3 linked regions of the Drosophila melanogaster genome follow. The protein of the gene in region 3 purifies or fractionates together with the protein of the main gene of each other region. This does not show direct contact. Each region holds a gene or a part of one and is shown on either strand. Other genes may lie near its edges.

Evidence for each region. Proteins that work in one complex are often made in the same cells at the same time.
Region 1: the proteins of Pcyt2 (region 3) and Pdss2 purify together in Drosophila melanogaster (affinity purification with mass spectrometry, with the first as the bait; one large-scale study listed by BioGRID). This does not show direct contact.
Region 2: the proteins of Pcyt2 (region 3) and CG11980 purify together in Drosophila melanogaster (affinity purification with mass spectrometry, with the first as the bait; one large-scale study listed by BioGRID). This does not show direct contact.

What each region holds. Positions count from the first base shown.
Region 1 is NT_037436.4:21,025,262-21,031,695, reverse strand, and holds Pdss2 (decaprenyl diphosphate synthase subunit 2), read right to left. Parts: upstream 3,782-6,434; 5' UTR 3,389-3,781; coding exon 3,039-3,388; intron 2,981-3,038; coding exon 2,791-2,980; intron 2,738-2,790; exon of another isoform or gene 2,612-2,737; coding exon 1,805-2,611; 3' UTR 1,555-1,804; downstream 1-1,554. Other genes in the region: CG10584 (uncharacterized protein), read left to right, coding at 447-1,271.
Region 2 is NT_033777.3:9,001,482-9,006,885, reverse strand, and holds CG11980 (uncharacterized protein), read right to left. Parts: upstream 2,870-5,404; 5' UTR 2,836-2,869; coding exon 2,811-2,835; intron 2,791-2,810; exon of another isoform or gene 2,748-2,790; coding exon 2,435-2,747; intron 2,378-2,434; coding exon 1,636-2,377; 3' UTR 1,555-1,635; downstream 1-1,554. Other genes in the region: Iru (iruka), read right to left, coding at 1-172; Prosbeta3 (proteasome beta3 subunit), read left to right, coding at 815-1,432; CG31100 (uncharacterized protein), read left to right, coding at 3,296-3,345.
Region 3 is NT_037436.4:1,550,698-1,556,965, reverse strand, and holds Pcyt2 (phosphocholine cytidylyltransferase 2), read right to left. Parts: upstream 3,474-6,268; 5' UTR 3,070-3,473; coding exon 2,956-3,069; intron 2,889-2,955; coding exon 2,565-2,888; intron 2,506-2,564; coding exon 1,798-2,505; 3' UTR 1,651-1,797; downstream 1-1,650. Other genes in the region: CG12099 (uncharacterized protein), read left to right, coding at 1-694, 749-903, 963-1,397; Pcyt1 (phosphocholine cytidylyltransferase 1), read right to left, coding at 4,340-5,101, 5,165-5,488, 5,678-6,172.

The sequences.
Region 1 (6,434 bases), about 19 Mb from region 3:
CATAGTAATTTAAAGTGATTCCCTTTTAAGAAGACTAAGTTGTATATTAAATATAATAAATAATTTCAATACATATATGTATATAGAGCTCTGGTTCTAATCTTAAGATGTGCACAAATTATTAGAACTTAGCCGTGAGATACGATTAAGTACTGTGATTATATATGCTTGCCTTAAATTAAGCGAAACGAGTTTATAGTTTATATTAAACATTTTCAAAAGTTCTTCGGTGCATAAATAATAAACACTAAATTTAAATAATTTCAAATTATTAAAATATATGTGTCCCCATCCACTGTGCAAAGACAGAATGCAAACACAATTTCCGCCTACCGATTGGCGATACCGATTTTGTAATCGACCACGACGCCCGGGGAAGATGTCTCGACCGACCGCAGCATTAAATTCATATACCCTATGCTCTTGGCCGCATACATAACCGGATCATGTTCACGGTCACGTCGGAGATCTACGGAGAGAACAACTACCAGACGACCCGCGATGGAGGTAAGGTGTTGTCGAAGTTCCGTTTCGTCTATCCGGAGGAGAAGCTGGCGGGGATTAGGACGGATAAAGACGGCGACCTTGAGGTGCCAAGGCCGAAACGTGGCGTGATCGAATTGGAACATTCCGAGGCCACGGAGCTCCGGCTGGTGGGCTTGCAGGTGTGGCGAGGAGCCCTTCTTCTGGCAGACTACCTTTTCTCCAAAAAGGATGAGTTTTCCCAGAAAACCCTAATGGAACTGGGAGCTGGTGTCGGCCTGACCAGCATTGCCGCCGGAATACACAATAACGGAAGGATCTATTGCACGGATGTGGACCTGGGATGCATACTGAAGCTGATCCGCGGCAATGTCCAAAGAAATTCAAAACTCCTCCGCGCTACGATATCAGTTCTGGAGTTTGATTTTCTCGCCTCAAAAGAGGATCACTCGCAGGATCTGCTGGAGGCCATAGACAATAGCGATATAATCCTAGCTGCCGATGTCATCTACTGTGATACGCTAACCGATGCCTTCATCTGCGTCTTGGATAACCTCCTGGATCGAGGTCGCCAAACTGGGAGACCCAAAACGATATACATGGCACTGGAGAAGCGCTATGTGTTCACACTGGAGGATTGCGATTCGGTGGCTCCCATGTATGAGTACCTCATCCGGCAGACGGTGAACAAGCCGTGGATCATGGAGCACCTGCCTCTGGATTTCCCCCAGTATTTCGAGTACGATCGCTGCAAGCAACTGGTTCTGATGAAGATCATCAGTCGTTAAAATGCGTAAATCACACATAAAGACGTTCCGCTTCTTAGATTCAAATGGCCCCTCGATGTACCTTAATAATTTAGTTAAATTATGGCTTTGTTACGTTAGGTTGAGATATCACCGGAATTAAACTAATAACATTGATTGTGACGATATTTTTTTTGGAAAATTATTGGCTGCAAATTGGGACTCTTGCCTTGTATTTCAAGGCTGCGAAAAAAATCTTACAGTCTCGAATGTTTCCAAATCCTCCAATTCTATGTTATGTAAATATGAACATACAACCTTTTTTATGACGAACTATATTTTCCCTTATAATAAAAATGAACTTTTGCGATACAAGACGATTTACAAAATATATTTTTGTGACCTTGCACCAAGTATTACTTGAAGTTCAGAAAAATAAAGCATTTAAACTTTACTTTAAATGAATCATTAAAGATTAGTCAACAACGTCTGCTTTACTGAAAAATTACCCAACGGAATAAATACAACTAACCTAAGCCCTGAACCCGTGAAAAATCAGTAACTGCTGCTCGGGATCAAAGATCCTGCATGGCCAGAATGATGTTCTCCAGAGCCTGTCGAGCGTCCGTCGCCGGGAAATGTTGCAGAACGGCCAGGGCAGCGGCTGTGTGCTTCCGCTGCAGTTCCTTGGTTTTGGCCAAAGCCGGCCCGGCCAGAATGGCCTTGTGGATCTTGTCGTAGTCGATGTTATCGACCGACTGCTTGCCAGCCTCCAATTGAGAATACATGCCAGGGTCGTGCTCCAAGTGGAATAGGACTGGAGCACTAACCAGACTGAAAGTAACATCTAGCGGCAGTTGGGGGCACTGAAAAGGTTCGGCATCCAAGCAAGCCTGCCAAGCGAGCGCCAAATGTTTGCCAAAGCGGTAAGCATGTCGCTGCAGTTCCTCACTCTGTCCGGCCAGCTTTAGCGAAGCTTGGCAGGATTTGCCCAGCAGGCTACCCGCATTAAGGATATTACGGCACTCCCATTCCTCCTCCGGATTGCCGAGAACCTGGGCAATCGGCATTGGCGTCATCACGTCGTGCTCGTTGAAATCCACTCCAACGCTGAGAGATGGTCGCTGGAAGGTTCCTGGCTTATAAGGCAGCGGGTTGTTCTGTTCATCACGCTCTCCAATGAATTCCGACTCGGAAAAATCTCGCACCGCCGACGAGATCAGCTCCACCACCTCCTGGTTGCGCAGATTAGCCAGCTCCGCACTGGAATGGCCCAGAAGATAGTCGCCGGTCAGCAGGCCGATCTTGTTGCCAAACGACATGTCGTCGTAGGTGTCCACATCCTGCCCAGCCTGCGTGCTCGATTGCAGATTAACCACGCTCTAAAATGGGACCAAGTGTAAATATTTTTATAATCTATGAGGCATCAGCTCGACCAATGACATATTGATGTTCGTTTCTTGAGTTTCGTCAACTAAATTTGAGGAAAGTTAAACTCATTTGCATACAAACCACTTTCAGTTTACGAGTAACTTTCGAATGCATTTGATCAAAAACTTACATTGTGCACCAGATGAGATATCCGTATCATCTCGGTGACCTCGGCCAAAGCCCTTTGGGAGTGCAGCACTCCGGCACTCTTGTCCTGCTCCACGTCTGGAACACTGGGTGCATGTCCTGCGGCCTTGGACACCAGGAGCACTATCAATCCCCAGGCTTGCATCGTGTTCTTGCCATTGTAGAGCAGGTGCCTGAAGCGGAAGATTCACATAAATTTCAACGCCCTATAAGCCCTTCAGCACCACTCACTTGGCCGTCTTCATCAGCGGATGGGCGCTGCCCACCAGTTTGCGCAGGTGCAGCGCCACATTGGCGATCTCGTCGCTGAGCAGCCAGCGCAGACTGAGGAAGGATGTGGGATAGCCGACGATGCGCTCCGCCTCGCTGACCGCCCTATTCCAGTCGTGTCTCGGGGGCGGGGTCGTAACCTGTGGACTGGCATGCTTTCCACTGGTCGTCGTCGTCGAAGTCCAGCGCTGAGAAGTGAAAGTTTGCAGCGCAGGCGCAGCTTTGGCCACTTGGAGTGGCTGCAGTTCGACGGGAATCCTGCGTCGCATCTGTTGCATAATCCTTAACCCACTGGCGCGGTACATGGCCATTTTCTAGTTATTTTCGCCTACAACACGACTATTTTTTTCAATTGCTTGTATGAAAATCGCGTTTCTTAGCTCCGCTCAGTTAAATCGTTCGTCGAAAAGTGAAATCTTCGAGGTCCGTCGCTGCTTGCGTCTCTGCCGACGTCGCTGTCGGCGTCACCTGCTGCCTACGCTGCTTCTTCTTCTTCCCGGGCGGCCCACTTTTACAGTTGGTCGCTGCTCCGCTCTCAGGTGGCCGCCAAGCGTTCTGTTTGTTTTTATTGCCCCACGCAGTGTCATGGAATTCCGAGGAGGCGGCGCAGGGGGTGTGTAACGGCGGTCTTGAGCGGGAACAGGTTTTCGCACGGCAGCGCCGCTTCGGTGCACACTTTTTGGCCATGGGGAGTACGGTCACTCTTAGGGATGGGAACACAAGTGGCTGGTGTTAGCGATGCAATTGGATGCTAGTGGTGACAAAACACTTATTTGTTTCCATTTTAATAGATTACAAATTCTTCTATTGTACAATTTATTATAGTTTGTATTCACCTTTAAAAAAATTTGTTTTAAGAAGGATCAAACAATCAGTTGACGGAATTGATTCAAACAGAATAAAAATATCTTTTATTTTACACTTCATTCCAATCACTTTACGCATTCGCACCACTTAAACCATTTCATTAAAAGGTTTCTATAACCGTTATTAAATTAAATTTAAGAGATCCTTTATTTATTTATATATAAGATGTGTAATACCTTTGAAGACATAGAACAAATAATTTAAAAAATATACCATTCTAAATTAAGAAGTATTAATTTGTTGTATATTTTGAACTTCCCATTGTGAAGACTTAGTGTTCTGTGGTATTTATTAGTGCTTTTGTGCCACCTCTTTAGTAGTTTTCTGTCTGTGCTAGCTGGCAACACTGGCTCTGCCGCCGACGGCAAGTTTTCCCTCATATTTGTTGCGAATTGTTATAAAAATCGATCGCAGATTTTTCCGTATGCGAATGCGATAGATAAAGTGGCACAAAATGTAAAGATTCAAGACAAGTTTACATCGGTAGTCGGAAAGAACATCAAAAACGGCGATTAAAACGTAGAAAAGTGATCAAAAATGCAAATGCAAAAGCGATTGCCCGAGAAGTGAGAGGGTGTGCGTGTGTGCTGTATGCGTGTATGCGTGCAAGAGGTGCAGCAAATTAAATATAAATAATAATGCCCAAGTGCCGTTGTTTGACAAATAATTGTGGCGCAAAATCATTAAATGATTTTCAAGACGTGTTTAAGCATTGGCAGCGGAAATGTTTAATGGTTTTTAATTGCTCTAGCGGTCGCTGCCCCGGCGGTGTGCCTATGTAGTGTGTGTGTGATTGAAAGAAAGAGGTGGAAAAGGAGGAGAGTGTAAGAAAGAGGAATATGCAACAACTGTGCGATTTTAGTTATCGATGGCATTTTTTTCCGGCTATTTCGAGTGGCCGAAAGTAAAAATCAGAAAATTTGATGTGTACACACACATTACTGCCCAGAAACAGAGAAAACGGTGCGAAAGGAAAACTACGAAAGTGGTTGCTCTGCCATGTAGGTGTATGGTTGATGCGTGTGTGTGTGAGAGGAATGCTGCTGCCCGTCTATGTATCACGTTTCGCACTCTACATATTTGCGTGCGTGTGTGTGCTATGTAGTGTTGTATAGTGCATAATTTATGGAATTTCGGATTTCCTTCGAGTTTCGTTTTAGTTTGAGATTTTTCCCTTAATTTAATCGATCTATGTGCTCGGTCTCTCTCTGTCTGCCTCTCGCTCAAAATGGTTGCATCCCCAAGAGATGCACAAAGAGCGAGCGAGAGCGAGATAAACAGACGCCGACGCCACTAACGCACACGCACACCAATGCATATGCAGTTAGCTGGTAAAACTTGTTTTCTCCCTCTCTCCTCTCTCTCACTCTCTGCTCAGCAAAAAGAGCAAAAGCCGCTATTCGAATTCGGCCGCTACTCGCCCTCTTCTGCTCTCTCGCCACTCGCCGCTGGTACAACTACACTACATACTGGCTATATACCATATATATGGCCGATTCAAAGCTAGGCGAGCAAAATTTCCATTGTGTGTGGCGACCAGCGTTCGCAGTCGGTTCGAAAATTTCTGACTCGTCATTCGTGCGCAAAAAACACTAAATACAACGCAAGAAATTCAAGCCTGAGTAATAGATTAAATATTAATAAATATTTTGAGCTACTGTTGTTTTTCGAAACCAAAAAATAGTCGCAGCTTCGAGTTTTGTGTGTTCACAGTACGTGCGAGTGCATGTGTTGGTGTTTTCCTTGATTACTCATCTTGATTTGCGCTCTATAAATGTGTAGTTCTTTTTGATTAAACATAAATTGGTTGGGTTTGAATTCGAATACAGCCGAAAACTCTTACCTATTTTATTTTGTCTACATCAACGATTAACGAAAATCCAACGACTTTCATCGTCGTTTGTGTGTTTCTAGAAGTAAATGTGTGTGTGCGGTGTATACTCGCTGCCTGTGGCTGAAAAAAGTCAATTTCTGAGTCGCTCTCTCTCTCTGCTTGCTCTCTTTTTGCATGAATGAAACAGCGAATGAACGAACCCTTGTAATTGTGATCTAGATGTGTGTGTGTGATTGAGTGAGTGTAGCAACAAATAAGCAAGTTAAAACAATAAGAAAATTAACTAATAAATGCATCTCTTTCGGAAAAGAAAACATATGCCAAGCGGGAAAAATGTGTGCTCAAAGTCTAATTCTTCTTATATTCCAGCTTTAACCAACAACAACAAAAGCAACATGCTTAATTCTACAGTATGTGTGTTTCATTGCCAAAGCAACGTTTACGCTAACATACTCTCCCCAGAGAGCAGATAAATACAAAATACACATAATAAAAATCAAAACCAAACATCAAATAGCAAATTACAAACAAAATCTAACACCACAACAACAACCACAAAATATCGAAAGTAAAGAAACGAGACGAAAGAGAGCTCTTCATTATTTGTGTATCCGTGTGTGTCGTCTCTCTCGCGTGTGTGTCCGTGCCTATACCGT
Region 2 (5,404 bases), on a different chromosome or scaffold from region 3:
CCGTCGAAGAATCCATCTCCGGCGCATTTGCCGGCAGCTCCTCCACGAAACCGTTGGCGCACAGCGGACAGGTGAAGTCTGAGTTGGGAATGTTGATCTCCACGTTGCACATGTGGCAGAAGAATCGCTTGGCTTCCGCGGGGCGGTCCTCCACAACCATTGCCTCTGCCATCCTGCGGTAGGTTCTTTATTTCCTGGGCAACGGCTCCACTGACGATTGTGCAAGACTGTCGCCTTCCGATGATGTAGGCTGCTTGCGGCTGTAGACGTTGATGTGACAAGAGGAGGACAAGGTACACGCGCCTAGCTTTACCCGGTCATTGGGTTCAGTCGGAACAATTGGGAGTTTAAGGGATAGAATTTAATTTTTCTATAAATAAGGGCCCCTTACAAAGTGGCCTTTGCCGCAGAGGAGAATAAATCCCAACTGATTGACGCGGCCTGGTCACACTGAAAGCTAATACTGGCATATTAACATTTGGATCTTTTATTACTTCAAAAGGATCCAAATGATAAGAAAAATGCGTTTTAACATTCGCGGAGATATTTTTGCATTTTTAAACATTTTATAACTTTAACTTGTGTTTAAAAATACTAATACTTAAAAAATACTTAAAAAACGCGATTCTTTTTGAAATCTCTTTAGTAGGCGTTGCCAGTTCTATACAGCCAGTCAGTATTAGCCCATCTTACACTCGCAGTCTGGCAACGCAGAGCAGAAACAAAAAGTCATCTTCCCAGGCGGCTTTTAGCATTTTGCAAAATTTCCATTTTTCTGCTGATTAAATTGAGCTAAGCGAATAGCAACGACACCATGTCGATTCTAGCCTACAACGGAGGATGTGTAGTGGCCATGCGCGGAAAGGACTGCGTGGCGATTGCCACGGATCACCGATTCGGCATTCAGGCTCAGACGATCTCCACGGACTTCAAGAAGGTGTTCCACATCGGCCCACGGATGTTCCTCGGGCTCACAGGCCTGCAGACGGACATCCTTACTGTTCGCGATCGCCTGATGTTCCGCAAGAATCTGTACGAGACACGCGAAAACCGTGAAATGTGTCCCAAGCCCTTCTCGGCCATGATGTCCAGCTTTCTGTACGAGCACCGCTTTGGCCCGTACTTCATTGAGCCGGTCGTTGCTGGCCTGGATCCCAAGACCATGGAGCCTTTTATCTGCAACATGGACCTGATCGGCTGCCCCAACGCACCCGATGACTTCGTTGTGGCCGGCACCTGTGCGGAGCAATTGTATGGCATGTGCGAAACCCTGTGGAAACCCGATCTCGAGCCGGACCAGCTGTTTGAGGTCATCGCCCAGTCCATTGTGAACGCATTCGATCGCGACGCCATGAGCGGTTGGGGTGCCACCGTCTACATTATCGAGAAGGACAAGATCACGGAGCGCACACTGAAGACCCGCATGGACTAGATGATGTTAGAGGTTCCCTTGGTGATTTTGTATACATTAACCGAAATACACATACAAATAAAATTTGTTTAGGTACAACATGTGCGTATTTCTTTTCCGTATAACGTAATAACACCAGAATTAAATGCGTAATAACACCAGAATTAAATGCGATCTAATTATTGTTTTTCAATTTCAAAAGCATAACTTTAAGTCGTATTATATTATTGCTCTTCTGTCCACTCGGTGGATTTCTTGGCCAACAACATGGCAGCCTCCTCGGTTTTTGCCCCGCCAATAAATCCTGTGTGATGGATGAATTCGAGATCTTTGATGCTCGCCTTATCGCATAGTTCATCGTCCATCAGTCCGCGCCAAGGAGTGGGCAGAAATTTGCGGCCCAGATAGCTGCCAGGCGTCACTGGAACTCCGGCCACTCGCCAACTATTGCCGCTGTTGAAGACGACCAGCTTGGGCACACCCTCCACCTTGTACTCCTTTTCAAGATCGAACAGATGAGACTTCCAGGGGCAGAAATTCTTCAACACAAGAATCTCGCCGGTGGGATGGACGTTCTTGGCATTTTTAAGAGCCTCTCGTACGTGATCCCGGGCTGGAATCCAGGAACATGATACCTCCACAACGTTGTCCACAAACTCACGACCTGCAGTATCCATCGCCTGTCTGAATCGGTCTTCGATGTCTACGCCAGTTTCCTGCCAGGACGGATTCAGTTTGGCAATGCGGGCAGATAGATGAGTGGAGATTTTGTATATAGGCTCAACGCCCTCGAACATGGGCACTCCATTATCAATTGCGTCCAGTTCGTTGATAAAATTCCTATAGATCTGAATAAAGGCCGTTTGCAGGTTTTCCGGTGAGAGTTTAATTCCCTTTTCGCGCTGCAGGATGCTCTGTATAACACGCTCGCCATAGTGACAGTAGACCAGTCCAGCACTGCTTAGCCTGGAGGGGATTACATTGGATTATACGGGTTCATTTACGCTAACACCACGAATTCACCTGACAACGTTGTAGTCCTCGCTTACATCTGGGCGAACGGAACTAAAAGTCTCCTTGAAGGTTATTTGGTGGTGATCGTACAATTTCTTGGCATGATCATAAACGCCGCCCACGTCGACAATTATATCGCACTTCTCCTTCAAAGCCTTGTTGTCCCGACTGCGGAAAATCTCTGCGTTTTTGTACTCATCCAATTGCTTGAGCATAAAACATGCGACCAACTCGTCGCAGTGAAAAGTGCCGCTGTGTGTGCCGATCCAAAGGGGAGAGCGTTTTGGTGGGGTAACTCCAGTCATTATAGATAGTTTTCCTGCTTCAAAACATTCAGTTAAGCCCAGATATTTCAATTAATTTCGGATTGTAACCAAAAACTTACGAAAACGAGGTAACAATCGGAACATTAGCGACGGTCTTTTCCTCCATTTAATATCGATATCACAAGTTTTTATAACTTGATATGGCAACACGCGTTCAGCTTAAATATATAAAAACTGCAGCGTGGCAGCACTGGTAACGGTTTTTTAAGCCGCAAACAATTAACAACATTTTAATTAAATACGTTTTATAGGCAAGTTGGATTTTAATATAATAATATATGAAAATTCAGTGAAATCTGTACCAAGCACTGCCAGCTTATCAAAGAACTTCGCCCCACACCAATCGATTGCATGGGCGTTTGTGCTTATCCAATAAATTAGCATTCGCTTGCTAATTTGTAAAACAACAACTCATAGGGACCACATCAATTTTTTGGCTGCTTAGTAGAGAATTATTGGCTGAAAATTTTAGTAAGCCTTTGGAACTCAAGACCCACGAATGGATACATTGGATAAAATTGACTAACCACAAGGATTTACCAAAATGGCAGAAGCCCGTTTGCGCCGAAATATAAGTCGGCAAGTACCCGCAATGTAAGAGTGATTAGTTTAAAAGATCATTAAAAACGCGCGGGAATCGGAAAGCTTAAAAATACATTACTGACCCACTGCGTGGCATTGCTTATATAATCGTTATAAGTTATTTAAATTTTACATTTCCGTTAATTGTGCGCTGAAACTGACGAACAATAATTAAAACCGAAATAGTAGGCAAACGGTCTATGTATGCGTTTAAAACATAAATCACCGCCGACAACAATGATCACGTGTATGAGCGCGAACAAAACGTTAAATTCAAATTGTTACACAGGCATTTTTCCCGTTGTCAGCATCCCATGACCTTCGAAAAGATGCTAAGCTCGGAAATTGAGTGGAAAAGGAAGTGCCTGTGTAAACGAAACTCGTTTGGAAAACACACTTCACTATCTCCAATTGGAATGCGAAATTCAGCTCGAATTAAAGTTCAATTTGCCCCGACGTCTACGTCACGCGGCCAAATCAAAAATTTCACAGGGCTTATTGTGGTACTAATCGATGCAGACACGCTTATCAAAATCTGGACTCGTTTCGACCTCAGCTTCTTGCAATTAAGCTTATCATACAGATTACGTTAGAAGTTCATTGCCACTGAGCGAAAAATGCGCTTGTTTTTACAACTACCCAAGTAATTATATTTTCACGCCCGTGAGCAAATAAGCAAATTCCACAGGTAAATACCAAACTGAAACTGAAAGGTATATTGTACCACATGTCGTTCTTAAATGAATGAAAGTGAATAGTAAGTTGAATATACAAATATTTAAATCATTTTTGGCTTATATAGCACTTACAGGGTATCATTGGATCGGTGAACTGGCACCCTCGTTACGTATATGCCCATTTAACTTATATTAGCACCGTCTTTTTTCAAATAAATCGCTTAATACAACAAATATGTGAGTACGCGTCAAAAAAACTTTAAGGGCAATTAACTGGAGCACTTAAAATAGAGATTACTAAATCGGGAGGTGATGATTTTGTATTTAAAATTAAAAATTCGACACTATCATTAAATTGCATTACTATCGTTGTAGTGTTCTCTGGTGTGCAACATCACAATTGTAGATTTATTTACTCGAGCCTAAGTGAACTTAAGTAGCCTTACTGTATTTATAGAGGCGAGATCAAAGCCGCCTGACGTTATATTCATGTGTGTTGTCCGGTTTATGCAACTGTCATTTAACTATGGCGAGAATTTACCTTTTCCTGCTCGTATTTGCATCGTACATTATATAGAATACGGCTTTGTGGGTATATTCTTGAACTCAAACCGGAATGCTGGGTATACAAATAAGAATTCAGAAAGAAATTAATGTGTTTTTTTTTATGAATGCCAGACCGATTCGAAGCTGATTTAGTGGGAAGATCTAGTAGCGGGCAATGATGAGGTTAATACAATAAAATACAACAAACCGGTTTGTCAGCAGACCCTCAATTGTTCTCCCGCTCAATGAATACGATTTTGGGGAATTTGTTTTGTTTTCTAGCCGCCGAATTGGTTACCAAACCAAATTGCTTGGTAAATGGCACAAATGCCAGGCGAGCTTTCGTCGCGTTCAATTTCCGAACTCCGTCTTGTAAGCTTAGCTTAATGGAAAGCTTCGTTGTAACGGGACTGAGATTCGCGCTCGGCTTCGTTTTCGGTTTCAGTTTGTTTTGACCGCGCGACGCGTTCTGGTCTAATCGCTAGTTTCTCCAAAAAATCGGTTTCGTACTGAAAATATACGAAAAAGCCTTTATATTTTTTACACCTTACTTACTCCACGGTACAACTTCGTCACGGTCCCTTTTGAGCCGCTGGTTAAAACCAGTTGGAAATTCGGCATTCGAAAGTTCAATACTCCGATTATAAATTTTTGGGATCCCTTGATATATGTGCGGCCCAAATGAGTGTAATACTTTGTATATATATGACATCGATTAGGTGCAGTTTTTCAGCTTCGGCAGCGAGTTGTTTCCGTCGCACGCAATCTTAGCCGACATAGTTGTTGTAACCCTTATTTAGCCAGAAGTGTGCAGTTTCGGCTGCTTGGCCATTAACCGCTGACATATT
Region 3 (6,268 bases):
CAGTTGATGCGGCGTCGCAAGGGCTCCATGTACATTGAAAATCATGTTGCAGGATTGGGCGAAACAATTGAACGTTTCCCCTTTGTGTCCGCTGGTGAAGAGGCTAAACGCTACTCAAAGTTTCTAATAGCCAAGCGGATGGATGTGGCCGCCATCATCGAGAGGGAGCGTAACGAACTGCTAGCCGAATCGGATGTCTCCTGTCCCGAGGATGTGTTCATCCAGCAAGCGCTGGTGATGCTTCAGGAGCGTGTTGAGAAGTTGGGTGTCGAGAAACCTGATCCGAAAGAGGATGAAGAGGAGACAGCACCTGTACTTTGCCTAGAAACCGAGACCAAGATTGATATTGAGAAGTCAGACGATGCCTCCATCTCGTCGGGAGAAGCATCCAGCAGCCTTAGCTACTCGAGCAACCATAATAAATACTATTATTTCTACCAGTCAAACGACGGACAGAATATTTACTTGCATCCCTTGAACGTGAAGATGCTTCAGGCTTGCTACGGCACCTTGGACTTGGGTCCGCTACTCATCGAAGCCCAAATCGTGCAGATGGAACAGCACTCTATGGATGAGGAGCATCGACGCAAGTTCACTTGTCTTGGCCACTTGCCTTTGACTTGTCAGTTTTCGGTTGTGGAAGTCGAATTGCAGCCGCCAGTGGTCACTGGAGGAATACTCAAGCTCTTTAAGGGTAAGTCCACTAGGTCCATGTACAGCATTATGCTTATATGTATTCCTTCCGCAGAGGACATTCTTCATCGTAAGAAGGAACGACAGCGTCGGGATCGCGAGGAGCGCAAGCGAGAGCAGCACATCAACGAGATAAATGACCGCCAGATGGGCAAACTTATTGCCAGTGCAGCTAACCTTGACCTAAGCTCCTCCCATGAGTTTCCCACTGTGAGCTAGCAATGCCTGCCATTAGTGTCAATTATTAATATGTGATATTTTATCTAAAGTGCGGCTTCGAGGAGGCTTTGCCCGCTCCCAGTGGCTCTGTGCCCATGAACATCAGCAACCAGGACCCCGGTTCCCGATACTCCAGTGTCACTCTGGGAAGTCCCAAGCAGGAGATGTGGCCCACTATTGGAAGTAATTCTCCTGGAGGTGGTGGCGCGCCATTGGATGTTCAAGTGGGCGCCTGGGGCCGTTCAGCTCCACCGCCGCCACGGGCTGTAATGGTCCCAAGAACCAGCGATGAGGACTTTGAGCAGCGATCTGTGGGCCACTGGGGTCTGGGAGAACTTTTAGTTGGAGCCTTGGACCAGAAAAAGCAAAAGGTAGGAGCAGCAAAATCCAATGGAGCAGCTCCAGCGGAATCGAAGAAGCAAAAGAAGGCCAAGGGCAAGAAGATGGTTCCCCTGTTCGCCACGGGCATGAACAGAGCTCCATGAAGAGCTAGATGATGATCGCTTATGAAGTTACAAGATTTATTGTATTTTTGTTTTTATGCGAATATTTCAACGTTATTTTAAATAACAAATGCGATTGTTCTATCATTGAAGAGGATTTGGAAAATCATTCAGCTAATCTATAATTTAACCCAACTTATATTCACAATACACATAAGATAACCAATAAAGGCAGCAAGTAAAATATCAAATAAACGCCTTTTTACTTTCTTGCCAAAAGAAATATTCATAATTTAACTGAAATTTATCGGAATGTATTTTAAGCGCATACTTTTTCTGGTAGCTCTTTTAAATATGTATAAAAGTGCCTACTGCGCTGTTCCATTAAACTTCAAACATATTTATTTATGTTTTAATTGATAGGAAGAGGCCAAATTCGTCTTTAGTCGCTGCGTCGCTCGTCTACGACATCCTTATGCTCTGGTTGCTCCGAGTAATTGAGGTTTGCTGAGGCATTCACCTTATCAGGGCGCTTTTGTTTTCGACTAAGGGATACGCAACTACCAGACCCGTAGTCTGGTGGCAGCTCCATGTACTCATCCTCAGAGTCTAAGTCGTCTGTTGCGTCTGGATCGTCACCGTTTACGGAGCCATTCGGACTGCCTGGTGGGCTGAGTGCCTGAATGATTCGGCCCTTGGACTCGTTCCAGAAGGTGTTAAGCCGCTCCCGGCCGAACAGGAGCAGGAAGGCATCGATGAACTCGCGCGACTTCTCCTCCCACTTGGTGATGATGTCAACCTTGACTTTGGTCAGCTCCCGCTTGCCTCGTGTCTTCAGCTCGTCCATCTTGTTCTGCAGACGGAATTTCTTCTCGGAGAGAAAGGAGACGTTGAGCTCCTTGGCTGAGTAGCCTCTGGCCAGGTTCCTGCGCACATATACATCGTAGTCCTTCACGATTCGGGCCACAATGTCCGACGTGGACACGCCCTCAGTGCGTTCCGTGGCCACAAACATTCCCTTCGCTTTGAGTGGAGCATATATGTCGTTGACTCCGCCAGCTCCATAGGGTATGTCATCGTGGGCCACAAAGTCGATTTTGTGCTCCTCGATAAACTCCTCATTTAGCGTCCACGGAGCATTCGGAACGATCTTGTGATGGATCGAAAAGTGTATAGAAACATTTCATTGGTTCAGTTTAACACACTTACCTCATCCACGTAGCGGCAGTGGCGCACCGCCTCGTAGCGCTCGAATCCATTCATAACCGTGCGTCCCTTCATCCTGAGGGTCAGCTCATCATTGCACACGCCGACGATGAGATAGACGTTGGGAAACACATTCTTGGCCTGCATGAGTTGGCGGGCATGGCCTTGGTGGAACAGATCATATATGCCATCTGCATAGACCCGCACCCTGCGCGTCGTCTTCCCAGCTCTGGCCATATGATAGGTGATCCTCTGTGTGTAGTCGCATCTCTCGAGCTCCAGCATGGCCTTGTCATCGTACGAGAAAGGAGCAGGCTGGCAAATGCTCTGGAGGCGTTTTGGGGTAGAGAGATTAGTATGTGGCAACTCCTGTTCCTCTAAGGAGTAGCCTTACAAAATCCTCAAAGTCCATAAAGAGCGGTAGCATCTTAAACTCCATCGGCGATGTCGGTGTGGCAGGAGCCGTCGACACTGGAGATTCGTCGTCCTCTTTCGGCATTCTGTCCATTGCTTATAAAAATATATGTACGAGTATACACAACTAAGTACAGCACTAGTGGTCCGCTCAAGGGGATTTCATCCGGACGACTGATTACATAAATTGAGACGGAACCGGCATAACCCTCTAGGTCTACTCTGTCGAGGATTGAGTCCGAGACTTTGAGCGAGAGATGTCCCCAACTGCGCACTAGCTGCGATCAGAATAAATTGGCGGCAACTGGTGGCGAATCAATACAATTGAGTCCAGCGGCTGGCGAGGCACACGACTTGGAGGCGGCTCTAGCAGTCTCAGGCCCAAGTCTCTGGCTCGGATTCATCGCTCATCTTCAATTGCCGCAAATTGCGGCGCAAGCAAATAGGAAGCAACGGGTCGGTCGCCTGACTTGGCACGGGTCCGCCGATTCGATCAGGCGATGGGTGCGCATCTATATATAAACCGCAGCGCCATTAAACAAATCAGTGAACCGCTTCAAGCCGGTGAATGGGCAGCTAATTGCGAGGGAATGGGTGTCCAATCAAGGCAAACGGTTTCATCATCATCGGTGGCGCGCGCTCAAGAATTCCAGCAGTGCCATGGATGGCTGCTGAATCGGATGCGCAATTGCTGGATAAACGTATGAGATAGCAAACTGATTCACAAGCCACTCGCTTTACTTCTATTTCCTTTCGATTCAATGTTTATTTTTCAAAAAATATTTAACAAAGCATTTGCAATAGTTCCGCTATTGCCAACTGTTACTAATTACTTGTTTTTGTTTTTTGCATTTTCCGAATGTATTTCGTAATTTGTTTGTTTGGATTTCTCTATATTGGTTGGTGTTCTGGTTGCGGTGTTGTTAACTTAGTTTAATGTTATGCGAAATAATTTAATATAAATATTTCTAGATATTTTCGGCACCTGAATCTGCCGCCACTGCCGATTGATTTCGTGCACAGTCCGTCGAGTGCCTAATACAAAAATGAGTCTTTTCCGCGTTGGTGGTTGCTTGTCCCACACACACACACACACAGCTAAATTAGCTACAGGATTCCCTCGATTCTCACAGATGGAGATGGGCAGGTGGAGTTGAGGCAGGAGGAGAACGAGTGCCAACTAAAACATTGGGATTACAATACCACTTAGGGCTAGAGTAAATATAAGTGTGTGTTCGTGGAGCCTGCGTGGCGATCCTGGGGCATCTATAGTGTGCCGTCGAACTAGTTGCAAGCAAGTCCATTTACAATAGCATTAAAGACATTAAGAGAAGAAGAAAAGATCGGGCTGCCCCGCAATAGAATCAATTGCTTCGACGCTCGTACTCCGCATCCGCATCCGCATCCTCGTCCCCATCCGCTTCCAAGTCGGGTGATTGGCTCTGCAGACTCTGGTAACTGCGGCGGGCCAGCGAGGAGCGCTTCTGCTTCGGCCTCTGTTTGCCGTTCAGCGATCCACTGCTGCCGCTGCCGCTGCCCCCGCTCAACTTCTCGGCCATCTCCAAGTACTCGTCAATAGTTTCGCTGTAGTCCTCGCCGCCCTCCGTGTCATCACCGTTCACTGATCCCGACGGGCTGCCCGGCGGACTGAGTGCCTGCAGCAGCTTGCCCTTCGACTCGTTCCACAAATGATTCAGGTTCTCACGTCCGAACAGCAGCAGGAAGGTGTCGATGAATTCGCGCGACTTCTCCTCCCACTTGGTGATGATGTCCACCTTCACCTTGCTCAGCTCGCGCTTGCCGCGCGACTTCAGCTCGTCCATCTTGTTCTGCAGCCGGAACTTCTTCTCGGACAGGAACGACACATTGAGTTCCTTGGCCGAATAGCCTCTGGCCAGATTACGACGCACATACAGATCGTAATCCTTGACGATCCGGGCTACGATGTCCGAGGTGGACACACCCTCAGTGCGCTCCGTGGCCACAAACATGCCGCGCGCCTTGAGAGGAGCATAGATGTCGTCCATGCCATCGGTTACATACGGAATGTCGTCGTGGGCCACAAAGTCGATTTTGTTGTCGGCGATGAATTCATCGGACAGAGTCCATGGCGCATTCTGGACGATCTGCAAGACAGAGTAAGATGCTATAGACTGAAAGATCTCTAATCAGTGCCGGGCAGAACATACCTCGTCCACATAGCGGCAGTGACGCACTCCCTCGTATCGCTCGAAGCCGTTCATCACGGTGCGTCCCTTCATGCGGTGGGTGAGCTCGTCGTTGCACACGCCCACAATTAAGTACACGTTGGGAAAGATGTTCTTGGCCTGCATTAGTTGGCGGGCGTGGCCCTGGTGGAAAAGATCGTAGATGCCATCGGCGTAGACCCTCACCCTGCGGGTCGTCTGTCCGGAGCGGGCCATCTGGTAGGTGATCCTTTGAGTGTAGTCACATCTATCCCGCTCCAGCATGGCCTCCTCGTCGTGAGAGTAGGGCGCCGGCTTGCAAATTGTCTGCAGGAAGAAAAGTTCCCGATTAGTTGGGCTATTCAACTGGACGATTGTGTCCTTGGTCTACACATTCTTTCTCGATCTTATCACACATCGTCGGAAATATACGACTCACGACTCGAACATCAATTTCAAACGATTTCAGCTACTACGATTTAGACTAACTTTGCATCCTAACTCTTGACTACTTACCGCAAAATCGGAGGCCCCGCTGAAGAATTGCTGCGAGGTGGATGCGGGCACCACCCGGTGATTCGGCGACGCCTGCTGCTGCGGGACGTACTTCCGCTTGACGCCGTTGAGGTAATCCGACTGTGGGGGCAGCAGGTCCTCGGCGGCTGCCGCTTCGCCGCCATCGTCGGCGTCGCTTTGTGAGATGGTGCGTGTGCTGTCCCGCAGTGTGGTGGCCGAGGTGGTGGGCTCGCTGGCTCCCTCGCCGACCACCAAGACACTCTCCAGCTGGCCGGGCCTGCTCTTGGACTTGCCGGGGCTGTTTGTGCGCTGATCCTGAACTTCCGATACCTTTGTGGCGCTGCTGGAGGCGGTGGACGAGGGCATGGCAATGGCTATCTCGTAGGTCCGCTTCCGGGTGGTCAGTGTGGAGCCGGGGGACGCGCTGCTGCTGGGCGTGGCCGGTGGCGATGTGCTATTAATTGTGCTTTTGGCGAGTATCGATGAGGTGGCCATCGCAGCGAATGTTTGGGAGCGGCAGTTTTAACGGCTTCGCGACGCGGTGACGGAGGAACAGAGATTCAATTGACTTTCAGCTGGAAGAGATCGAGA